Caenorhabditis elegans: one gene and its partners. The protein of the gene in region 1 purifies or fractionates together with the protein of each later gene. This does not show direct contact. Each region holds a gene or a part of one and is shown in the gene's direction. Other genes may lie near its edges. The genes, in order: cbs-1, Y49G5A.1, trx-4 and F42A8.1.

The links.
Region 2: the proteins of cbs-1 (region 1) and Y49G5A.1 fractionate together in Caenorhabditis elegans (co-fractionation; one large-scale study listed by BioGRID). This does not show direct contact.
Region 3: the proteins of cbs-1 (region 1) and trx-4 fractionate together in Caenorhabditis elegans (co-fractionation; one large-scale study listed by BioGRID). This does not show direct contact.
Region 4: the proteins of cbs-1 (region 1) and F42A8.1 fractionate together in Caenorhabditis elegans (co-fractionation; one large-scale study listed by BioGRID). This does not show direct contact.

What each region holds. Positions count from the first base shown.
Region 1 is NC_003284.9:10,052,216-10,058,289, forward strand, and holds cbs-1 (Cystathionine beta-synthase cbs-1), read left to right. Parts: upstream 1-2,065; 5' UTR 2,066-2,088; coding exon 2,089-2,129; intron 2,130-2,467; coding exon 2,468-2,571; intron 2,572-2,715; coding exon 2,716-2,783; intron 2,784-2,826; coding exon 2,827-2,930; intron 2,931-2,989; coding exon 2,990-3,398; intron 3,399-3,476; coding exon 3,477-3,865; intron 3,866-3,973; coding exon 3,974-4,080; intron 4,081-4,132; coding exon 4,133-4,581; intron 4,582-4,673; coding exon 4,674-5,062; intron 5,063-5,108; coding exon 5,109-5,163; 3' UTR 5,164-5,309; downstream 5,310-6,074. Other genes in the region: gnrr-3 (G-protein coupled receptors family 1 profile domain-containing protein), read left to right, coding at 39-266; ZC373.2 (uncharacterized protein), read right to left, coding at 5,752-5,862, 5,948-6,074. UniProt on the Caenorhabditis elegans protein: Hydro-lyase catalyzing the first step of the transsulfuration pathway, where the hydroxyl group of L-serine is displaced by L-homocysteine in a beta-replacement reaction to form L-cystathionine, the precursor of L-cysteine.
Region 2 is NC_003283.11:5,285,621-5,289,359, reverse strand, and holds Y49G5A.1 (BPTI/Kunitz inhibitor domain-containing protein), read left to right. Parts: upstream 1-1,986; 5' UTR 1,987-1,999; coding exon 2,000-2,131; intron 2,132-2,447; coding exon 2,448-2,559; intron 2,560-2,605; coding exon 2,606-2,667; intron 2,668-2,710; coding exon 2,711-2,953; 3' UTR 2,954-3,017; downstream 3,018-3,739.
Region 3 is NC_003279.8:3,317,262-3,320,826, reverse strand, and holds trx-4 (Thioredoxin), read left to right. Parts: upstream 1-2,242; 5' UTR 2,243-2,251; coding exon 2,252-2,343; intron 2,344-2,540; coding exon 2,541-2,772; 3' UTR 2,773-2,849; downstream 2,850-3,565. Other genes in the region: cdap-2 (SH3 domain-containing protein), read left to right, coding at 805-974.
Region 4 is NC_003280.10:9,340,745-9,348,639, reverse strand, and holds F42A8.1 (uncharacterized protein), read left to right. Parts: upstream 1-2,049; 5' UTR 2,050-2,074; coding exon 2,075-2,172; intron 2,173-2,698; coding exon 2,699-2,889; intron 2,890-3,277; coding exon 3,278-3,369; intron 3,370-4,224; coding exon 4,225-4,349; intron 4,350-5,365; coding exon 5,366-5,462; intron 5,463-5,997; coding exon 5,998-6,132; intron 6,133-6,707; coding exon 6,708-7,082; 3' UTR 7,083-7,243; downstream 7,244-7,895. Other genes in the region: ttll-12 (Tubulin--tyrosine ligase-like protein 12), read right to left, coding at 7,421-7,649, 7,696-7,893.

The sequences.
Region 1 (6,074 bases):
ACTACATTTTTCGCATCTTGATCAGCATCACTTTGCAGGAAGTCGGTCTATCCGCCGATCGACGACGGTCCGGGAAGCCGAGGCCCAGCGGATTGTTGCCGCAGCAAATCGCGCACACCGAGAACAAAACTCCTCCCAAGTGTCGCCTCGAGGTACACGCGCCACGGTTCGAGAACAGACGCGCGTCGCAAATCGACTCAAAAACACCAAAAGTAATGAGGTTTAGATGCACCGGATCACTTGACGGAAAAGCTGGCAGATGCTGAGGAATGACCATCAATTTGAAATATTTCGTGTATATTTTTATGTAACAAACTGGAACTTCTGATCGTTGAAAAACTTTTGTCGAACCAACAATGCGAAGATGTACATTATGTGATGTAGCACATTCCTCTGTTTTCAAGAATAATCCCTTCTGAGAAAAATTAATTTATGGTAATAAAACTGAGTGTGCTCTTTTGAAAGTGTTGTTGCATTTTTTGGGAGAAAGTTATGGATGTTAAAAAAAAAACAATTCCTATTCGTAAAATATCTTCTCGTGAAAATTTTTGGAATCTGGCCCAAATGCATGGTAGTACACTTTGCATATTGAAGCCATATAAAATTCATCTTTCAAACTAAAAACTTTCGGAAAAACGGTGAATCTCAAGGAAATAAATATTTTATTTGTTCCCGAGAAAACTATAAAATCTTACAGATCAAATGAAATTTTTTGATCATTTTCTGTTCCGGTTTGTTTCTTTTTTGCAATCCCCTTCTTTTGTTGTTTGACCTGTGTTTTCCCAAATTCCCATCCAGACACCACACTACATACAAATAACTGCAATAAATCTTGCCACAGCACTATAATCTAATTGCTCGTTGTTGCAGTAGTAATATACCTGTCTAGAGGTTACTCTTCTTTCCAACACCTGTCCTTGCCTTTTTATTGTACACTCTGCTCTCTGTCTGCACTCCCATTCTTTTTCGTTCATCTCTCCCTGGCTCTTTTTTTTTCTCATCATTTCATTTTTGTCTGGGTTGTTTAGGAAATGATACACGCATAACCCTTGTCAGATCTTGAATCATCGTGATCTCTTCATTTTTTTTCTTCATGAATCGTGTTGTTTCTATCACCTTATGCCAACAATTATTGTATCTACAATTATAGTTTCAATAAAACTATCAACATTCATAGCAGTGATTGTTTCTAAAATTGTGTGACAGAAAATAGTCGAAAAGTGTTTTCTATTAATTATTCTCACAAACCCACACAAGTGACAAAAAACGTATAGAACATGTGCTTTAAAAATCATTATGATTTATAGATTTTGATCACCTTCATTTTTTCCAATATTCTTCCATCCATTGGAATATTCTTCTACATCAATGAAACAATATGAGAAAAAACCCAATTAGTTTTTAGTTGTATTTTCAAAGACACGCACAGAAAAAACACACAGAAAGTGTCAAATTCTTTGCTGTTATTTTTCTGAAATGTCATGTTATTTTTCCTAACCTATGTTTAGGTCACCTCATCTGTTGCCTACACCAGAGATCTAATATACTTTGCCCGAAGCGAAATGTATTTAATGATACCAATAATAAAAGATACTAAGTACACTTTATTATTCACCTCGTCCCTCGCAGTTAGTTCTGGCAAGATAATATAGATAATATTGTCGTAAAATTTTTTATCAATTTTTGTGATATTGATATTTCATTTTGTCACTCTCCCACTTGTCTTCAAAATTCCATTTCAACGAAATCTATTTTGAAAAAATAAAGCATCGTATAAAAGAGGTTTTTGATTCTTTGACCTTCACAATCGATCATCTCCCAAAAAGATAAACCACGACAAAGTGCCCAGTATTTGCTAGAAGAATCAATTTAGACCCGACTCCTCCCATCTTTTTTCTCGTGTCTCTGACCCTCATCTAGATGCCTATCAGTCTATAGTTTTCATTATCCACGGCATTGTGTGGCAATAAGAATAGTTAAAAGTCAACTTCATACCCTTTGTAACATTTTGTTTCAATTTTTTTTCAATCGATAAATGTCGTTTTCAACTTAATATTGATTTCAGGTAGCTATTAATCAGGTGTGAAAATGATCCAAAACGAAGTTTCCGCTACACATGGATCAACTAAGTAAGTTTTTTTTCAAAAAACACGCACTCTACTAAAAAAAATTTTTTGAATCAGGTTATAAAACAAAAATAACACATAGTTAAAACACAGTTTTTCTGGCTTCAAAACGAATAGTGCTGATGCAATCTTATTTGAAAACTGTAAATAAATGAGGCAGAATGAATTCAATACCATAAAGTTTGAAATTTAAGGTATTTTTTCTTCTCTCGAAAAGAAAATTGTAAGAAAAAAAGAAGCACGTGTAGATAAAAAATTCGTCTAATCTGCTTGAAATCAAAATTTTCTATAGATAAGATAAGATAAGACATTTCAACAGTCTAGCAAATTCACTTTTGCAGGAAAGGAATCACCTATAACACAATCTTAGAAGCCGCTCAACGTCCAACTCCACTTGTCCCACTCAAAAAACTGAAGGTTGAACATCAACTTCAGAGTGATATTTGTGAGTTTTGGTGACAAAAAGCTCATTAACGGCACACTAAACTCTAAAGTTTTCTGAGCCTTTCCGATAGGTTTTTTATTTATTCAACCTCTTGAGTCTGTTTGTTAATGAGATTGTGGTCAAGGGAAACTTTTTTCATTTCAGATGTGAAGCTAGAGTATCTCAATATTGCGGGATCTTTGGAAGACCGTACCGCTGACAAAGCTTTCCAGGTAGGAAATGGGAAGCAGATAAACCTAATTTGTACTTTTCCAGTTTGCTGAAGAGATTGGAGTTGTGAGAGGAGATGAAGTTTTTGTGACCGCCGGTGGGTCTGCAGCCATCTCATACGCAACAGTTGCTGCTGTGAAGGGCATCAAGTAAGTGAAAGATGGGCGAGATCAAAAAGCAACACGTCATGCATCATGTTTATTTTCAGATTGACCATCTACGCACCAAAGGGAGAATTCGATCTTGTGGATACTGTCTTGCATACCCTGGGAGTCAAAACTGTTGAACTTCCATTTGGAACATTTGCAGAGGCTCGTGTTCAAACTGATGAGGCTGCTCAACAAAAAGGTGTCTTCAGCTTGAATAAGTTCACTACCAATGCCGCATTTGTTGCAAATCTTCAAAAAACCGCCCTCGAAATTGAGAAAGCTGTTAATAACAAGTCGATTGGCAAAGTTGGAGCAGTTGTTATTCCATTGAATACCGGAGCTGCCGCTGCTGGAATTGCAGCATATTACAAGGGAATCGGTGAACATGGTGTTCGCGTTGTTGGAGTCACATGCAAAAAGGATACTATTCCAGAAATGGGATTGGACTTGAAAAATGATCTTCTCCAGGTGAGTGTAATAGAAGACGATGACAAGTAATCATAATATGCATACGTGTAAGTACAATTTCAACTAGCCAATTTTGAGGAGTACAATGTTGAAAAACGAGAGGTCGAAGAAGATGAAGCTTATTCTTTCACTCGACATCTCATTGGAACTGAAGGAATCATGGCTGGACCATCATCTGGAGCCGCTGTTCTTGAAGCAATCAAACTCGCTAAGGAACTACCAGCTGGATCAACAATTGTCGTTGTTCTTATGGATGGAATTAGAAATTATCTCCGTCATTTCCTCGATGATGATTGGATCACCGCTAACAAGAAAGACGTGGTGACCAGAAAAGATGGACCACAACCAAACAGCATTTACGATCCAAAAGTGCTTGTGTATGATCCAACTAAACTTGCTGGAGAGTGGACTCAAGATCCTGAAACCAAATCATGGAGCCATTCCGAAGTTGAATTCAACAAGTTCAAGTAAGTTTACCAAAAAACACATTTAAAAAATGAGTGGAGTTCATAGAAGTGAAACTTATTATGACCTCCTATACAACAACATAGTTAATTAACCCACAACTTTGTCAGCCCAGAAAGGCCACTGGTTCTTGATACAGTTCTCGATGCCATCGGCAAGACTCCACTCGTCAAGCTTCAACACATTCCAAAGGCACATGGAGTAAAATGCAACGTTTGTAAGTAACTTTAACATATATTTTCCTAAATCTATGCAATGGCATTTTACAGACGTCAAGTGTGAGTACATGAACGCTGGGGGATCAACAAAGGATCGTATTGCCAAAAGAATGGTTGAAATTGCTGAGAAGACTGGAAAACCTGGAAAGTTGGTTCCAGGAGTAACCCTCATCGAGCCAACCTCCGGAAACACCGGAATCGGACTTTCGCTTGCATCTGCTGTCCGTGGGTACAAATGCATTATCACCATGCCAAAGAAAATGTCAAAGGAAAAGTCAATTGCAATGGCTTCTCTTGGATCAACCATCATCCGTACTCCGAATGAGGCAGGATTTGACAGCCCACATTCACACATTGGTGTTGCTCTCCGTCTTAAAAGTGAAATTCAAGATGCGGTAGTTCTTGATCAATACTGCAATCCAGGAAATCCGTTAGCTCATTATGAAGAAACCGCTGAGGAAATCATTTACGATATGGGGGATAAGCATATTGATCTCGTGGTAAGAGCTTTTAATTTATCTAACTATTTGAAAAATGATGAAAGATGAAATTGTACACATTTCATGTTCGTTTTTTCATGACTGTTTTACAGGTTCTCACTGCTGGTACAGGAGGAACTGTTACTGGAATTTCTCGCAAAATCCACGAGCGTATTCCAACAGCCAAGGTGGTCGGAGTCGACCCTCATGGATCTATTCTCGCTGGACCTGCCGAGACTGACATCGACTTCTATGAGGTTGAAGGAATTGGATACGATTTTTTGCCAGGAACTTTGGACACTAGTGCCATTGACTATTGGGCAAAGTCTCATGACAAGGAGTCGTTCTTGATGGCTCGCGAGCTCATCAGATCTGAGGGTATTTTGTGCGGAGGATCTTCCGGTTGCGCGGTTCACTACGCACTTGAAGAATGCAAATCGTTGAATCTTCCAGCCGAGGCTAATGTCGTTGTTCTTCTTCCCGATGGAATTAGAAATTACATGTTAGTTTCATTATTTTTTTATTTCAAAATAAAATATACATTTCAGCACTAAATTCCTCGACGATGATTGGATGAATGAGCGTCATTTCCTAGACGCCTAAGCTATGAAGAACTTTGAATTTGTCTCCACCATTCCGTATTTTCATCTTGACAATCTACACGTATTACTTGGTCCGTATTATTTGGCTTCTTTACTTTTTTTTTCAATTCGCGATTTTACTCTGTTTTAAATAAAAATGGTTTTGTGACAAATTGTTATGATTGAAAAAATTCACGATTACATTCATAATAATCGAAGACCAAATGGGCGGTTGTCATAATGAATGTTTTTGTCACGAAAGTTAAATAAGATATCATAAGCGGATTTTTGCAGCTTTTATATTCTGAAAATAATTTTATTCAACTCTATTTAGTTTCATTAAAAATTATGATTGATACTAAAATGATACTGCTGGGTATCGATGTGCTTGTGATATTTGCCAAGAGCACGAGAAGAAAATCATTCAATGTACACAAACCTTAAAGTTGTTCCATTATTTTAGTAATGTAATAAGCTTCTTGTCTTGTCTTAAAGATATGCCAGATATTCCTCTAGAAAACAAAAAAAAACAATTGAATAATATCAATGAAATTTTAACAGTTAACAATTTTTCAAGGATTAAATATTTATTGCATAATGAAACTTTAATTTACTTCTTTCCATCGAAGAACGTGTTTCCGCCTCCACAGTTTCTGTTGGTGTTGTTGAAGCAGCAGACACAGGTTCTACGGTCATTTGAGATGAATCCAGATGCGAAGTCCTTTAAAATACAAAATGAATAATATTTGCATCATCCGTAATGAAGTCTACAAAATTATTTTAAGAAATTTCATATTTTTCCTCACCGTGGTGAGGCCGTCTTGAAGAGCTCTAGCCTGGCAACATCCGGAACATCTTTCTGGCGTGGTTGTGTCGGAACATGTTGCGGTTCCTGGGGCTCCGTCAATTGGAGCAGATACGACGGTACGACGG
Region 2 (3,739 bases), on another chromosome or scaffold:
AATCTATATTTTTATCGAATTTTGTTGATGGCAAAAAATAAAATTTTCTTCTGAAAAGAAAAATCCAGCATTGTAAGCAAAAAATATAATTTATTTTCGAAATATCGGATTTTGTGAAAAATCGAAAAACAGACACCCTTGATTAAAATATTTATTATTTCAAAAAAGAGTGTTTCCGAAAAAATTCACAAATCAACACCTTTAAATTTAATATTATTCCCAGAGAGGAACATTGCAACATTTTCGTTCAGTATGTCATGAATTCTTCACTAAATAAGCCATCTTCACTAAATAAGCCATGGTATCAAGGAAGTGTAGATGATAAGTGGAAAAAAAAAGAACCGGACGATGAGAAACAAGAAGCAAAAAAACGAGAAAATGAGAAGAGTGTATGTGTGTCTTTTGAAAATGAGCACTCTTTTGGAGCACAGGCAGAGCAAAGTGGATTCTGCGCTGGGAAAACACCGACTAGGCAAAGGCAGATAATCAAATTGACCCCATAGGCTAATAGTAGCTGCTTTTCGCAATAGAGACTTGACTATAATGATTCGTTTTTTTTTGTTTTCTATTTTATTTTTTGGGTTTTGGTTTTCTATTCTGACGTTCTAAATCAAAACCTTACTTTTCAGTTTTTTTTTGAAAACATACAATTACCAAAACTTGAACCCAACAACTCAGAAAGAGTTGCCATAGCACATATTCAATCAACGGCGAACAAAGTAACAAGTAACAAAATTTTGTTATTTTTTGCGGAGAATTTCAGAGAAAAGCAACTGCAACGAAAAAAGTAGACGTCGAAGTGACATGAAAAGCAAATAAGGAATCGGAAATTTGTGAGTTTAGCTGGGGGATTACAGAGGATATATTAAAAAAATTTTAGGAACAAACTTCGCATGAACGGAATAAACAAGCACGTGGACCGGAGAATTTAGGTTACTCGAGGTCTATTCTCAAATAAGGCTTTTGAGTTGGGTTAAGAAATTAGAAAATTATGTCCAAGAGATTTCCCAACTTTTTGGAAAAAGTGAATAGGTGGCAGAAAGAAAAATTGCGTTAGAGTAGTTTTTCATATATAATCTTGACTTTCAGATGTTTTGTAAAACATGTGAACAACTATAGGAGTTTTCAAGAAACTTTTCTTTCTGAAAAAAATATGATCACTTTTAAAGGCTTCCACATTTGGAGCAGGGATGTGCGGCAAATCTCAAAATTTGCCGCGCTCGGCAAACTCGGCAAATTTGCCGTTTTCAACAGACTCCGGAAAAATGTTATATTTTAGATGTATTTTGGAGCACCAAAGATATCACACATCTGATTTCTGAATAAGTTTCGTGAGCTGTGTCAGCTTAAACATCAAATTAACTCCATTTTGTGGAATTTTACTAAATTTTAGGGGACAAATTCAATAGTTTTGGGCAAAATTGTTTTGTCAAATTTTTGGTGTGCTGCAAATTTCGAAATTTGTCGAGCTCGAGCATCGTTGATTTGAAGCAATTTGCACTGGAAAAATAATCAGATAGAATTTTATCCTGATCACAATACTTGTCAATTTTTTGTAGTAGCCTATTTTAAAATTTCTTTTTTTCAAATGGCATTTATGATCTCCGTATTGGTAATCTCTGTGACCAGGAAGTGATTCAAAGAATCATTCACGGTGATACCAAGAGCGTTTATAAAATTTGCTGAACAGTTTTTTAGATGGTTTGGCCACACAACCATATTAATAATTGTTTTATTGGACTTTTAGGTAGAATTTCAGATTGGAAGATTTCTGGGTGTTTTGTCAGCTAGCATTCGACAATTGAAAGAGATTTACGGATTTTTCTAAACGAATCTATACTAGAACTTCAACCAAACATTATCCAGTTTGACCTTCTTCTTATCTAAACCAGGAAGTGTTGAGTATAGTCATTCGATTTCTTTATCTCTCAACGTGTTTATCCATTTCTCCAGTAGTATAAAACGGTGATCATTTCAATTATTCTGTCAATTTTGCAAAATGAATCTTCTTCTTACCTTTTTGGCTACTATTCTGTGTGTCAGTGAGTTAGTCTCGACACTTCAACCGGAGTGCAAACTTCCATTGGACATGGGAAAAACACCATGTAAAAATGGAAAGAAGGAGATAAGAGTGAGTTTTGATTTTTCAAAGCTTTCATGTCGCTTTTTTTTGGAAACTTTGGAATTTTTGGAAATTGGAAAAAAATATAGAAAAACATTGGTACTTTCTGAAAATAGCTATACGTTTAATTGAAAATTCCGAGAATTTGCTCAAAAACTGACTCAAAAGTCAACGTGCCGAAATAACACTGAGACTGTAAGTCTTTTCAAAATTTCAACTTTTCAAAACTTTCAACAAAAGCAAAATTATTTTCAGAAACTAAACATATTTCTCAATATTTTTATTTCATAAAATTCATAAAGTATAAAGTCTTAATAATTTACAGTACCACTTTGACCAAAAATCCAATATCCCATTGGCTTTTGAGTACAGTGGATGTGGAGGAAACAAGAATAATTTCAAAACTGAGAGTGAATGTCGATTTACATGTACTGGATGTATGTTTTTTCATTTGAATTTTTTACTTTAAACCAAAGTATTTAGATGATCAATCGGGATGTGCCGCTGGAAGTAAGCCAATAAACGATAAAAACTGCCAAACCGATGTAAGTTGCTCCATGTTTTTGAAAAAATCTGTAAAAATTCCAGGAAGAATGTGGGCCAAAAGGTATCTGTAGGTACTCTAATCATATTAATATTTGCTGTGACAAGAAGATTGAAAAGTTGATTGAAGCTGATTATGAGCCAAAATGTCCAAAAGGAAAGAAAGTTGCAAAAATTGTCGAGGGTGGAATCCCTACAACGATTGTTGGGAAGAGTTGCAAATCAAAGTTCTGTCCAGCTGGAGCAACCTGTGTGGAGGGAACATATTTTGCCACTTGCTGCAATTAATTATTTTCGGCCGTGCATGTTTATCTATATAAACTTTTTTATTAATGAATTAATATAACTAATATAACCTTTTCCAAACAATTCGTCTGAAATCTTTAGATTTTCGGACTCCAGCAAATATACAAAGCTATCGATTTGTATATGATATCCCACTGTTTTAAATGAAAAATTTAATGTAGAAGCATATTATAAAAAACCAGCCGTTTGCACGTGCTCCGACTGGCGTACGGTAAATTGTTTTAATAAATTTTAAACTGCTAATGTAAGATTTTTGTACAGTCAACACTTTTCCTGGAGTTTTGCGGAATTTCAAGAAAATTCTAAAACTTTTCCAGAGTTTCTAGAAAATTCTAGAACCATCCTGCTTTTTATGTAAAAAGTCCTAGAAGGGACAAATTTTAAGCGCTTTCAGAATTTAATTACAAAAATTTCCAGGTGCCAGAAGCTTTCAGTTTGATCAAAAAAACTAAATTTCATGCAATATGACCGCATTTTTTTATTGGGAGATTTACTACGTTTGCATTACTTTAAAAATTAAGACTCTGGCCGTTCACCAAAATTAGTGACTCTGGCCGTTCACCAAAATTAGTGACTCTGGCCGTTCACTAAATATAGTTACTCTGGCAAAAATAGTGACTCTGGCCGTTCACCAAATATAGTGACTCTGGCCGTTCACCAAAATTAGTGACTCTGGCCGTTCACTAAATATAGTTACTCTGGCCGTTCACCAAGTATAGTGACTCTGGCCGTTCACCAAATATAGTGACTCTGGCCGTTCATCAAAAT
Region 3 (3,565 bases), on another chromosome or scaffold:
TCTTTTAAACTTTTTTTTTTTTTTTGAATACTCTAGAAAAAAGTAAAAATTAATTTTAAAAGTTCCAAAAAAATCCGAAACAAAAAAATTCAAAATTTTAGGAAAAATGAAAAAATAAAAATGTTTTAAGTCCTGTGAAAATTATTTAAAAAAGGGTATAATTAAAAAAATTGCAAAAAATTTGGAATTTTGTTTTTAAAAATATTAAAAAGTACTTTTTAAAATTCCTAGAGAAATTCCTAAAAAAAAATAAATATTTCTCCAAAAAAAAAATGCAAAAAAAAAGAAAATATATTAACATTTTTTAAAAAGTTAAAACTTCTTAAAATCTAATTTTACAACTAAATAATTCATAAATTCAATGCAAAAAAAAACTCGAAAAATGAGAAAAATACAATAAAAATGAAAATAATTCAGTAAAAAATCTTTTTTTAATTCCAAATGAAAATTTTTTTCAAGTATTTTTTCGAATTTCCGGAAATTTTCCGTTTCGGCAAATTGCCGGAAATTCTCAAATCCGGCAATTTGCCGATTTACCGGAAGTTGACAATTCCGGCAATTAGTCGAGTTGCCGGAAATTTTCAACTCCGGTAATTTGCCGATTTGCCGGAAGTTGTCAATTCCGGCAATTTTGCCGATTTGCCGGAAGTCGAAAATTTTCTGTTTTGGCAAATTGCCGGAAATTTTCAATTCCGGCAATTTATCTATATGCCGGAGATTCTCAAATCCGGGAATTAGTCGATTTGCCGAAAATTTTCAATTCCGGCAAATTGCCAAAAATTACAAAAATCGTCCATCTTCCAGATTCCACTTCCTCCACCTCTGCAATCAGAAAATTGGCATCTCCAGATAGTCAAAAATCGCCAAATCTTCCGCCATCAGACTATGTCAGCCGTGCCGAATACGATGCCCTTCTCGATAGATTCCGTGCTCTGGAATCACGAGTTCTCGCCATTGAAAAGATTCGATTCTAGCCATTTTCCTCATTCATCCAATTATTCGTGTAAATTGTGCCCCCCATCTCTTCTCTCTCTTCCCCATTCACCCAGTGCAATATAGATTCTCGAAGCATATAAAGAGAGAGTATCAAATTGTCCTGTGATCCTTTGTTTTTTTTTTTGGAAATTCTCATTCAACCCACACCCCCGATTCGTTTGTATTGATTCACTTATCATTGCTCCAAATATTATACAATTTTTGCGATTTTTTGTGCTAAAATTACAGTACCACGGAGTCTCGACGCGACAAATTTTTGTTTCAAATTTTGCCAGAAATGCTAGAAAACAGCCCCAAAATATCAAATTCACTTGTAAAATTTTTAGAATTTTTCTAAATTTTTAATGTTTATTTTTGCAATTTTAAGGCAAAAATTCGAATTATTTTTAAATCCCCTTGCAAACAAATTTGAATGGGTTTTCTTCATATTTTCTCGGATATTTGATTTGAAACACAATTTTTCGAATTTTCAGACGTTTTTTCGGCTTAAAAGTCGATTTTTTCCGAAAAAAAGGTCTGAAATTTTGTGTTTCAAATCAAAAAATTCGGGGAATTCAAAAATAATTTGGTAATTGAAAATTGCGTCGTAAAATTGATTGTGAGAAAAAAATCTAGAAAAATTGTAAATATAAATTCTTCAAAAATTACACTTTTTTTCGAGTCGCTGCATCATGTTTAAAGGCGCACATCCTCTTGAAAAAATTTGTCGCGTCGAGACCAAGTATTTCACATCCGCTTCATTTTCTCGCTTTTTCTTTTTTTTCACACATTGTTGCTCAAAACGGCGTTCTTCTCTTCCCCCACTCCTCTCCCCCACATTTGGCCAGTCAGCAGGACCTAAAGATGTATCTCTTGGTCACCCGTTTTTAAAAATTTTTTATAATGGTTTATTGTTTCTTTATTTCATTTCTTCTCGGCCACACACACACATACTATAAATGTTATTGTGATTTTTATTTTTATTATTATGTGTTGATTAACGTAAATTTTATTCAAATTTTTGCAATGTTTTTCAATTAATTGAACTTCTACATTAACCGTTAATGTTTTCTTGCGGTGAATTTTAAATATTTCTAAATTCTGAAACCAAACCGAATATTTTTTAATACTAACTGTTAAATTGTAGTCTCTAATAGTATAGAGTTTCCGGGAATTATTACGCGAACGCTAAAATTCTGCGAATGCGTATTGAGCAAAAGACGAATTTAAAATTAAAAAATTCCAAATTATTTTTTTTTTATTTCAGATAACCGAAATGTCTATCGCAATCAAGGACGATGACGAATTCAAGACAATTTTTGCCGAGAAGAAAACCCAGCCAGTGATTCTATTTTTCACGGCTTCATGGTAGGTTGGATTTATGCACATGGCTGAGAATTTTCTTAATCGAAATTTCTAGGCCACGACTATTTGAAGCCTTTCATCAGGATAGTTTGGATTTCGAAACTTGAGTTTTTGATAGAAACGTAAATTCTAAAAAATGCCTTTTACAGTTTCAAATTAAAACTTTCATGAAATTAAATTCTCAAAATACACGATTCCAGGTGCGGTCCGTGCCAAATGATCAAGCCACGTGTGGAGGAGCTGGCCGCCGAGCACAAGGATCGCCTATCGATCCTTAAAATTGATGTGGACGAGTGTGACGGTGTCGGTGAAGAATATGAGATCAACTCGATGCCCACCTTCCTTCTGATTGTCGACGGAATCAAGAAGGATCAGTTCAGTGGAGCGAACAATACAAAGTTCGAGGAAATGGTCAAGGCAGCTCTTCAATGATTTTCACACTTTTAAACATCTTACATTATATTTTCTCTGAAGATTAAGAGTTCTGAACGAATAAACAGTATTATTTGAATTATTTATTTTTTGAAAACATGTATTATTACGTCATTGATGTTTTCGGCCTGAACTCCGAAAAGGTATGACTGGCGGACCCACGACATCCGGTTGACATTGCAGTCGACTGACTTTGAGCTTTTCGCATTTTTTTTTCAAAAAGGAATTTTCTTCGTATATATCTCTTAAATATCGAGAATTGTTTTTTTTCTCACAAAATCGGTTAAATATTGAATTGTGCCCAAGCTCATCCCAATTTTCAAAAGAGAACTGCCGTTACCTCAAAGGCGCATACAGAAGCAAGTAAAGTTATGAAAGAAATCCAGCAAACATATTGGGTCTCGCCGCGCGAAATGTATTTTTTAATTTTTTGGAATTGTCGAGTTTTCTTTTTCTTTTAATAGGTATTTGTTGGTTATTTCATATTACGGAAACGGAAAACTCTGAGAATGCGTCTTTCTTTTCAACATATGCTTTTGACGAGCAAAATATTTCGAAGCGAAAACTACAGTAATTCTTTAAATGACTACTGTAGCACTTGTGTCGATTTACGGAAATGAATTTATTTTTGAATTGTGGCAGCGATATTCAATTTTTCGTTTTTTTTGTCAATTCGATAAATAAATAATTTTAATTCATTTCGAGAATCAAGTCCGTAAATAGATCTACAGTAGCCATTCAAAGAATTACTGTAGTTTTCGCTGCGAGATATTTTGCGCGTCAAATATGTCGC
Region 4 (7,895 bases), on another chromosome or scaffold:
TTTTTTCAGAGCGGAGGACGATTTTGGAGATGAGCCAACATTTTTGAAAGATTTTTTAGGACATTGTAGAAACCTCAAAAAAGTGATCATTGTTCAAAATTTCAAGTCGATACGTTGGATATGAAGAGTTTTATGAGCGAAATTGGATTTTTTCGAAAAACGGTCTGTAACTTGGCTGAACATAAAAATATCAAAAAAGTCTAACTGATAAAATGTGGAAAAATATTTTTTTTTTACTATCCAACAAAAATTTAATTCTGAAACTCAATGGATGTTGAGTTAAGACTGGTACAACAGAACAGTTCTCAAAAATTTTGGTAGATTTTAGGAAACTATCTTTGAATCAGTGTAACTCAATAAATCCTTGCTACTTTGTAATGAAAATTGATGCAAAGGGAAGAAAAAATATTTCTAATAGTTTTGTTTGTTGAACATTTGTTTTCTAGAACTATAGTTTTCGAGATACGTCAGTTTGAAGATACGCAATTTTGCGAGTTTTAGAAGATATTGCAAATGAATATAACCATTTTTGTACGTCAACATATTGTCTCACTTCTTTCTCTATAATTTTAACGGATTTCTCATGAACAAAAATGAAGTCGAGTAGTCAATGAGATTTCAACTCTTTCCTTTTTCCAATTTCCCCATCTCACTTCCGATCTCTCCGGAAACCTTTTCATCAGACTCTCCTGTCCATTGATAAATGACAAGTTGATTACACTGTTTTATTTATTGTAAATAAATCAACCTGATTGTTTATTTTCTAATGTTGTCCTATTTATTTTTTAAAGTGTCAGCAATCATTTCCTGCAAATAAGAAGACGTCAGTGTGTCTCAGAGAACGTTTTTTTCTGAATTGAATTTCATCTCGTCAGTGAACTACTGACACCTACACAACAAAATGTTGTCACGGTATATGTAGGTGGGCGGCAATTAGCATTTCGACCGGAGGAGAAACGGTTTCAAATATGCGTTTGGATGAAATAAGTGTCTAGGAATTTTTGGATGAATAATTGAGAACTCATATGTGAAAATCGAGGTGAGTTTTTGATGAAGAAGGCAGAGAATATATACAAATTAAAAAAACACACACATTTTCAAAGATGGATTATTTTGGAAATCCCATACTACAGCAGTAAGCCACATTCAGATTGAGATACGAGGCGCGTGTTCGGAGTGATCCTTCCACTGGAAAACGTGAAATTTCTTACAGGACTGATTGTGACGTCATATCCAAAAAGTTAGATTATCATATTTTCCAGAGCTCAAACGAGTCGAATGTGATATTGTGATAGAAAATGATATGCCGTTACTCCCAGTTGCTCAATTTTGGCAACTAATTTCTTTTTGGAATAGATGGAATCTCGGAAATTTCCGTTTTCTCAAAAGTACGTTCAATTTGAAGTGCGCTTAAATTTAATTCTTCACAGTAGAAAAGCTGTATCATACCGTAATTCAGAGGTGGCAGGCAGGTCCTAACTATAAGTTTTCATTTGCCCATCCAGTTTTATAGAGTGATGTTTTGAATAAGTGAGTAGCTCTAGTACGAATTGATAACTTTGAAAGGCATCATCCATAATTTTTGGGCTCCCTCAGCTTAGAATGTTTACCGAATTGTTTTGAACTATTTGGAAAATCTATAAATCTATTTTGCACCATCTGACAGCTTGAAAACTCATAGACCAATACACTGTATATTTTTAGCTCAATTTCCGGTAGTTTCCCCTCCTACACGCACTTTCACTGAAATGGTCATTTATGGTGTTCTTTCCTCCAGAAAACTTGTAATTTATGAGATATTTGAATAACAAAACCGGCGTAACTATGATGTATATCCCAATTCTTTTCCGCTTTTTCTTCATCTTAAAACAAACATTCAAGAGCGAAAAGGTGTTCCTAGAGCTCCGCCCACTTGAAGAACAATTGTCCATTTTCGGACGGAAAAGGGGAGAGAAAAGATGAAAAAAGTGAAAAAGAGAAAGAAGATGTGGGGGAGGAAGTGGGAGGAGCCTAGGAGCTACTATAAAAATCACCGAAAGCGGGGGAATTAGAGACAAAAGAAATTTTGATGAAAATGCAGAACAACTTGGTTCTACTTATCCTCTCGATTCTTTCAATTTTCGAGGTTTCGGCCTATTCAAATGTCGAAAAAGGAGCTGCAGCTAGAGCTAGGTTTGTTTTATTTTTTAAAGGTTCAGTGTATCCAAAATTTTCGAAAAATTAATCCTTATTAGTCTCAAACCTTACGATTTTCGTAGCAAATTTTTTTATTCTCAAAAAATTTGTTTTTGAAAGTCATATGGCTTCCATGGCTTCTAAATATGCCTTTTTTTGCCTACGTGCCTGCCTATGCCTATTTTTTATTTGGCATTAATTATAAAAATTTTTCTGGAGGCACGTATAAAACATTAAACCTCTAGTATCATGGTGGTTCAATTTCAGAGCCAAACTTCTGAGATTAGATATGAGGAATCATTTTTTCTAACGTATACATTGTATACATACTATACATAACAACAAAAAATCAAAAATTTCAAAATCCACAACCTAAATGTCTCACCGTTCCCCTTGTATTCCTTATCATCTTGTCAAGTTCATCTCATTGAACAAGACAACTAGCTACTAGTATCTATGGTTCTCAACGAAACTGAAACCAATTGATAAGAACCGGTTTTCAAAAAAAAAACTCCTTTTGCAGATGTTGGACAAGCGGGAACGGACGGCCAGCTCAATGGTGGCAGGAAGGAGACCAAGTGACACGTGGAAAATACTTTTATGAGTGTAGACGTGGACAGTTGGAGCCACTTGGATGTCTGTCAAGCACAGAGGAAAAGATTCCACTTGGACATACTTTCCAACAAGATAGATATGAGTTCATTTGCCAACTTGGTTAGTTTCGAGCATGGAAATTATACTGATCTGGGCAACTAGGCTTCTGAGAATACTATAAATTTTCAGTTGGAATTAAATTCAACTTTTTATTAGCTAGTTCAAATTCTTAATACCTACTACTCAGAATACCTAGTACTGTTTCCGTAACTTTTGGAGTCTTCGAGTTCACGACAGTGTTAAGAATAACTAACTTTCAAATTGTTAAAATATTTTAAAAGTAGGTATTCTCAAAATCGTGTCCATTCAAAAAAAAAACCATTTCTAATGTCTCTCATTCAACATCTTTTGTCGATTTGATCTTCTTTTTCCCCATATCATTGAGTACCCACATCTGATTTTGTAGAAAACGTATCAAATCTCCTTTTTTACGATTACTCTTTATCAGGAAGCGACGGTTATATCGAATTCGGCTACAGCGCATGTGTCGGCACAGATGGACGTACCTATCAAAAAGGAGAGACTTGGACCGATGCCAAGGTAAGAATGAGAGGAAAGTGAAAGATATTAAAACATGTGAAGAAAGTTGCAACATGTATCACATCCGGTGGGCGGACACACACAGTAGGGGGTTCTGCAATTTTTCTATTAACTTTTTAGTTGCCACTAAAAAAAAACGTTGATCAAAGTTTCAACGAAAGCTATAACATAGTTTTTGAACTGACCCAATTTTACTTTCGAAACTTCACTAATTTGATTCCAAACGAAAACTTTTTGACCTACAAATTCAAAAAGTGGAAGGCATAGTTTGACAATGCCGAGAAAAATCGCTGAAAATGTGGCACAATAATTAGAGATGAACTTTGAAAGTGTGATTTATTAAATTTAAATTGAGAGCGTGTTCGATGCAAGACTCATGCTTTCGTGCTCACAAAATTAAAATATTGTTAATCTACTTAGGAAGCACAAACCAATAGTTTCCAATAAAAACAAGTAGGCTTAAGGTAGGCACACAAACAGGTACTCTGATCGCCGATGTGCTTGCCCACAGTGATACCTAAAGTAAGTATAAGCTTGTTTTCTAGAGATCCCACATCCCATAGGTGCTATAGGCATAGGACAGATAACCGGCCTGATAATGTTTCTGATCCTTTGATCATTAAATGAAAAGAAGACATAATCGAATTGGTTTAGAAACCGAAAATTGTGTAGAGAAATTTTGAAATTTTGGTAGCTAATTTTCAATTTAATTTTAAACAGTTTGAGCAAGATCTAGTAAATTGATATTTAATAAAATAGAACAGACCCATTTGTCTTCAATCATAGTAGTATTCCAAGTTCAACTTTGACCACAACCCCCTCTACCCCATTCAACCACAAAAATACCTCTTCCAGAACACTTACTACTACCGTTGCCGTGACGATGGTCGTGTTGTCAAAACGACAATTGAAGGATGCATTGCCCATGATAAGCAACGACGTGTCCCACTTGGTCAGACAGACGATTTCAACGGATACACGTGAGTTCGCTGCCCCTAAATTTCGCTCAATGGCTTATCTCCGCTTATCCGTTGTTTTTACCGACATGGCGCCGCCAAGAAAAGTGTAAATGATAGGGTGACATATGATTTGAAGGCCACCCGAAATTTGAACACACGGGAGACAATATGAAGTGACACCGGTCAGACGGTTTAGCAGAAAAACGAAAAGGCAAAGAGTGGTGAAAGACTAAAGAATGAGTTTAAATAGATAGTGATAGAGATTGACTGATAGGGTTTTGAAAGATTGAAAGTGATAGATTGGATCTAAGGATCAAAATTGAACTGAAACCCAGATTACCTAATTGAATTTAAACTAATAGGAAAACTAGGGGACATTAAAACTGATGTGACAGCATTGTCAATTCAAGAATTTCCAACACTAGGTGAATCTGGCAGGTAGGCAAGAGTTACACGTGCCTGCCTTCGTTTCTGACGAATGCTTATTTCCTATTTGAGCGTAAAGTTAAGGAATTGACGGTTTCACACTATTTAAAACACTGAAGCTTGAAATCTAATCTTTGAATGCAAGAGATTGGCGGTTTCGCAGTAGGTACGAGGTAGGCGTAGGTTTTTCTGAAATAAGACATGTGGACTAGTGCTATCGAACGTATCATAATCTAAATTACAGTACTCTCGGGTACATTTTCGGTGATGAAAGATCAAAAATGATAATTCAAATCCTGTTTTTATGTCCTTTCAATGTTTTCATAGCACTTGGAAATTAATTGATATCCTGCAACCTTCAAATCCACCGTAATCCTATTTTCTCCCAAGTTGTATTTTAACAACTTTTTTAGTTTTTTTTTTCATTGATAAGGGCGACGGATATGGCGAGATTATGTGATAAAGTGACAAAAAAAACGGGTCACTACGAAAATGCACTCTTTTATATCTTATCGGTTGGTGTCTACGAGATACTTGAACTTTTGCGGTAGCAACTTTTTTTTTTAAGTTGAGACTTTGAATTCTGAAGAGTATGGAAAAAATATTTTCAGTTATAAATGCCAACAAAAAACTACTGGAGTCGTTCAAATGTGCAGTGTTGGATGTATTCATGAGGGAACTCGATACACTGTTGGACAACAATACAGAGTGAGTTTTACCAATGAGTTTGGGTGGACAAGCCTTCATGACTCGCCTACCACCTATTTATATTTTTTCATAGGCCGGCGTAGGTCTTCTGAAATGTAGGTAGATATTTTTGTGCCTACTGGGATCGGGATCTACCAAGCCCAATGCATCTGTCAAAATAATTATTTCCTAGTAATTTGAAACGAAAAAAAACGAAGGCGCCGAAACTTCTAGAACTTTTCTCTTTTTTTTGAATTTCATTTCATCCATTATCAATCATTTCTCCCGGAAGTCTTCCAAACCCAATTTGAACCTTCTAAACATGTTCAAATCAACATTAAATCAACTTGTCCAAGGGCGTGCCCCTGCAAAATCCTGCGATTTTTGAACATCAAACTTTTCACGAAAAAAAAGTTCTGAAGATGAAAATGATAACAACAAATCCTAATAGGAAGTACATACCTTAAAAATAAGTTTTGAAAAAAAACAGAAAAAAAACAGATTGATGAAATAGATAACATCATCTTCTTATTAACTTGTATATTCTCGTTTTCAGGACGGAGACTACCTCTTCTATTGCAAGTTGCAAGGTGGAAAGTGTACGAAGCAGTGCATCGGATGTGTTGCTGGTGGACAAGACTTGTATGATGGACAACGGTACAAAAGAGATGGAACCACTTATCAGTGCGAGGTATGTTTCCGGTCAATGACTGTACCAGTGGGGACAGGAATCAGTTATTGGATGCTTTTTTTCTGGACAATAGGTTTAGACTGTTAGGGTACAAAACACATACAACAGTGAACGTTCAATGTGAAAAAGAGAAAGAGGAGAACGAGGTAATTGGGAAACATGCAAAAGAAGGTGATGAGAATGAGAAAAAATAGAACGGGAGATCAATGGAACAGTTCTGAAATTGAAGTTTTCAAATATGAAAATGATACATTAAGGAACTAAGAATTAGGTGTCCCGAAATGAATCCAGACGTTAGGAAAATCTCTACTTTGGCAGCTCATATCTCGGTTAATTTCAAATATTTCAAAAAAGTAAATAACATCAAAACTGTAGAAAAAGGACTAATCTGCATATTGTCAGTTGACAATTTTTGATAAATTTGGTAATTTACCAAAACTGTGACTGAAAATTTTGAAAAATCTGAAATGTTTTGTCATTTTGAACTATAATAAGTTTATTTAAACTAAATCCCTACTGACTCTTGGAAATTAAATATAATATGTACATCCAAATATTCAACTTATAATTTCCAGATCCGTCCAGGAAAACGAAGCCACCGTGCCGTCGGATGCTCGATTGTTGAAAATGGTCGTGACATTAACAAGGTGATCGGATGTAGATGGTATGAGCAGAACCCAGACTGGAAGATCGAGAAGACCTGCGAAACTGACGGAGATAACAAGACAAAGGTCACCACAGTTGGATGCATCTATAAATACAAGGGATTCGATCGAATTTTCCTTGAGCCAGGAAAGTACACAATTTGGAATCTTCCAAAACAAAAGGATTCATCAGTTGGACTTGCTTGCCGAAAGACTGCTGACGGTGCCGAGTTGGTGATCTTCGATGTGGCACAGTTGGAAAGGAATACGTCTGGACTTAAGTACGATTTGCCACGTGGCAAATAATCACGTTGTTTTGACTAGGTGACCACAGCGAGCTTTCTCTTGTTATTGTACCCCCGAGAATACGTGTAATTTTGTTGAAATGTCGTGAGAAATAACCTAATAATTGTGCTTCTTCTATTTCTTTTCTGAAGTTTGATAATAAATAAAGAATAACTATATTCATAAAGGAATGCAAATTTTATATAAAGAAAAGAGGATCATAAAATTTCCACTGGAATACGAGAAAACACCGATGAAAACGTGAACACGGTGAAGTTTCAGTGCCGAAAATAGAATAAGTTAACAAAAAATAATATAACAATCGTAATATGGAAGAAAAAACAAAAAAGAACACGAAATTAGATTGGTGTGACTTTGGTTGGATCGATTTCATCCAGGAAAAGCGTCTCAAAAACAGTGTCAGCAAAATCTGGATAATACTGGCATGCTCGAGTGGTGTCCGGCATGAAATTAATCTCGAGGAGAGTGGATTTGATGACGTCATTGTCTCCGTGTTGAAGCATAATATCAACACCGTACATTGCACGGGATTGGACATTTGGAGCAACTCCTCGTGGAGCTTCTTCTCTGAAAATGCAAACATTAAGATATTTCTAAACAAAACGAAACTTACTTTGCAGCTGCTTCGATTGCCTTGCGAATGGTTAAATTGATATCTTTCTGTACTTCACTCCATTGAATCCTCGGATAAGCTTTTTCAATAGTTTCAATAAAGTTTTCGCATTTCATTTGAAGAATTTTCTCTTTGTCCAAATAATTGAATACAGTGAAATGAGTCTCCACATCCTCGAAGTTAGATAAACTGAATTCGCT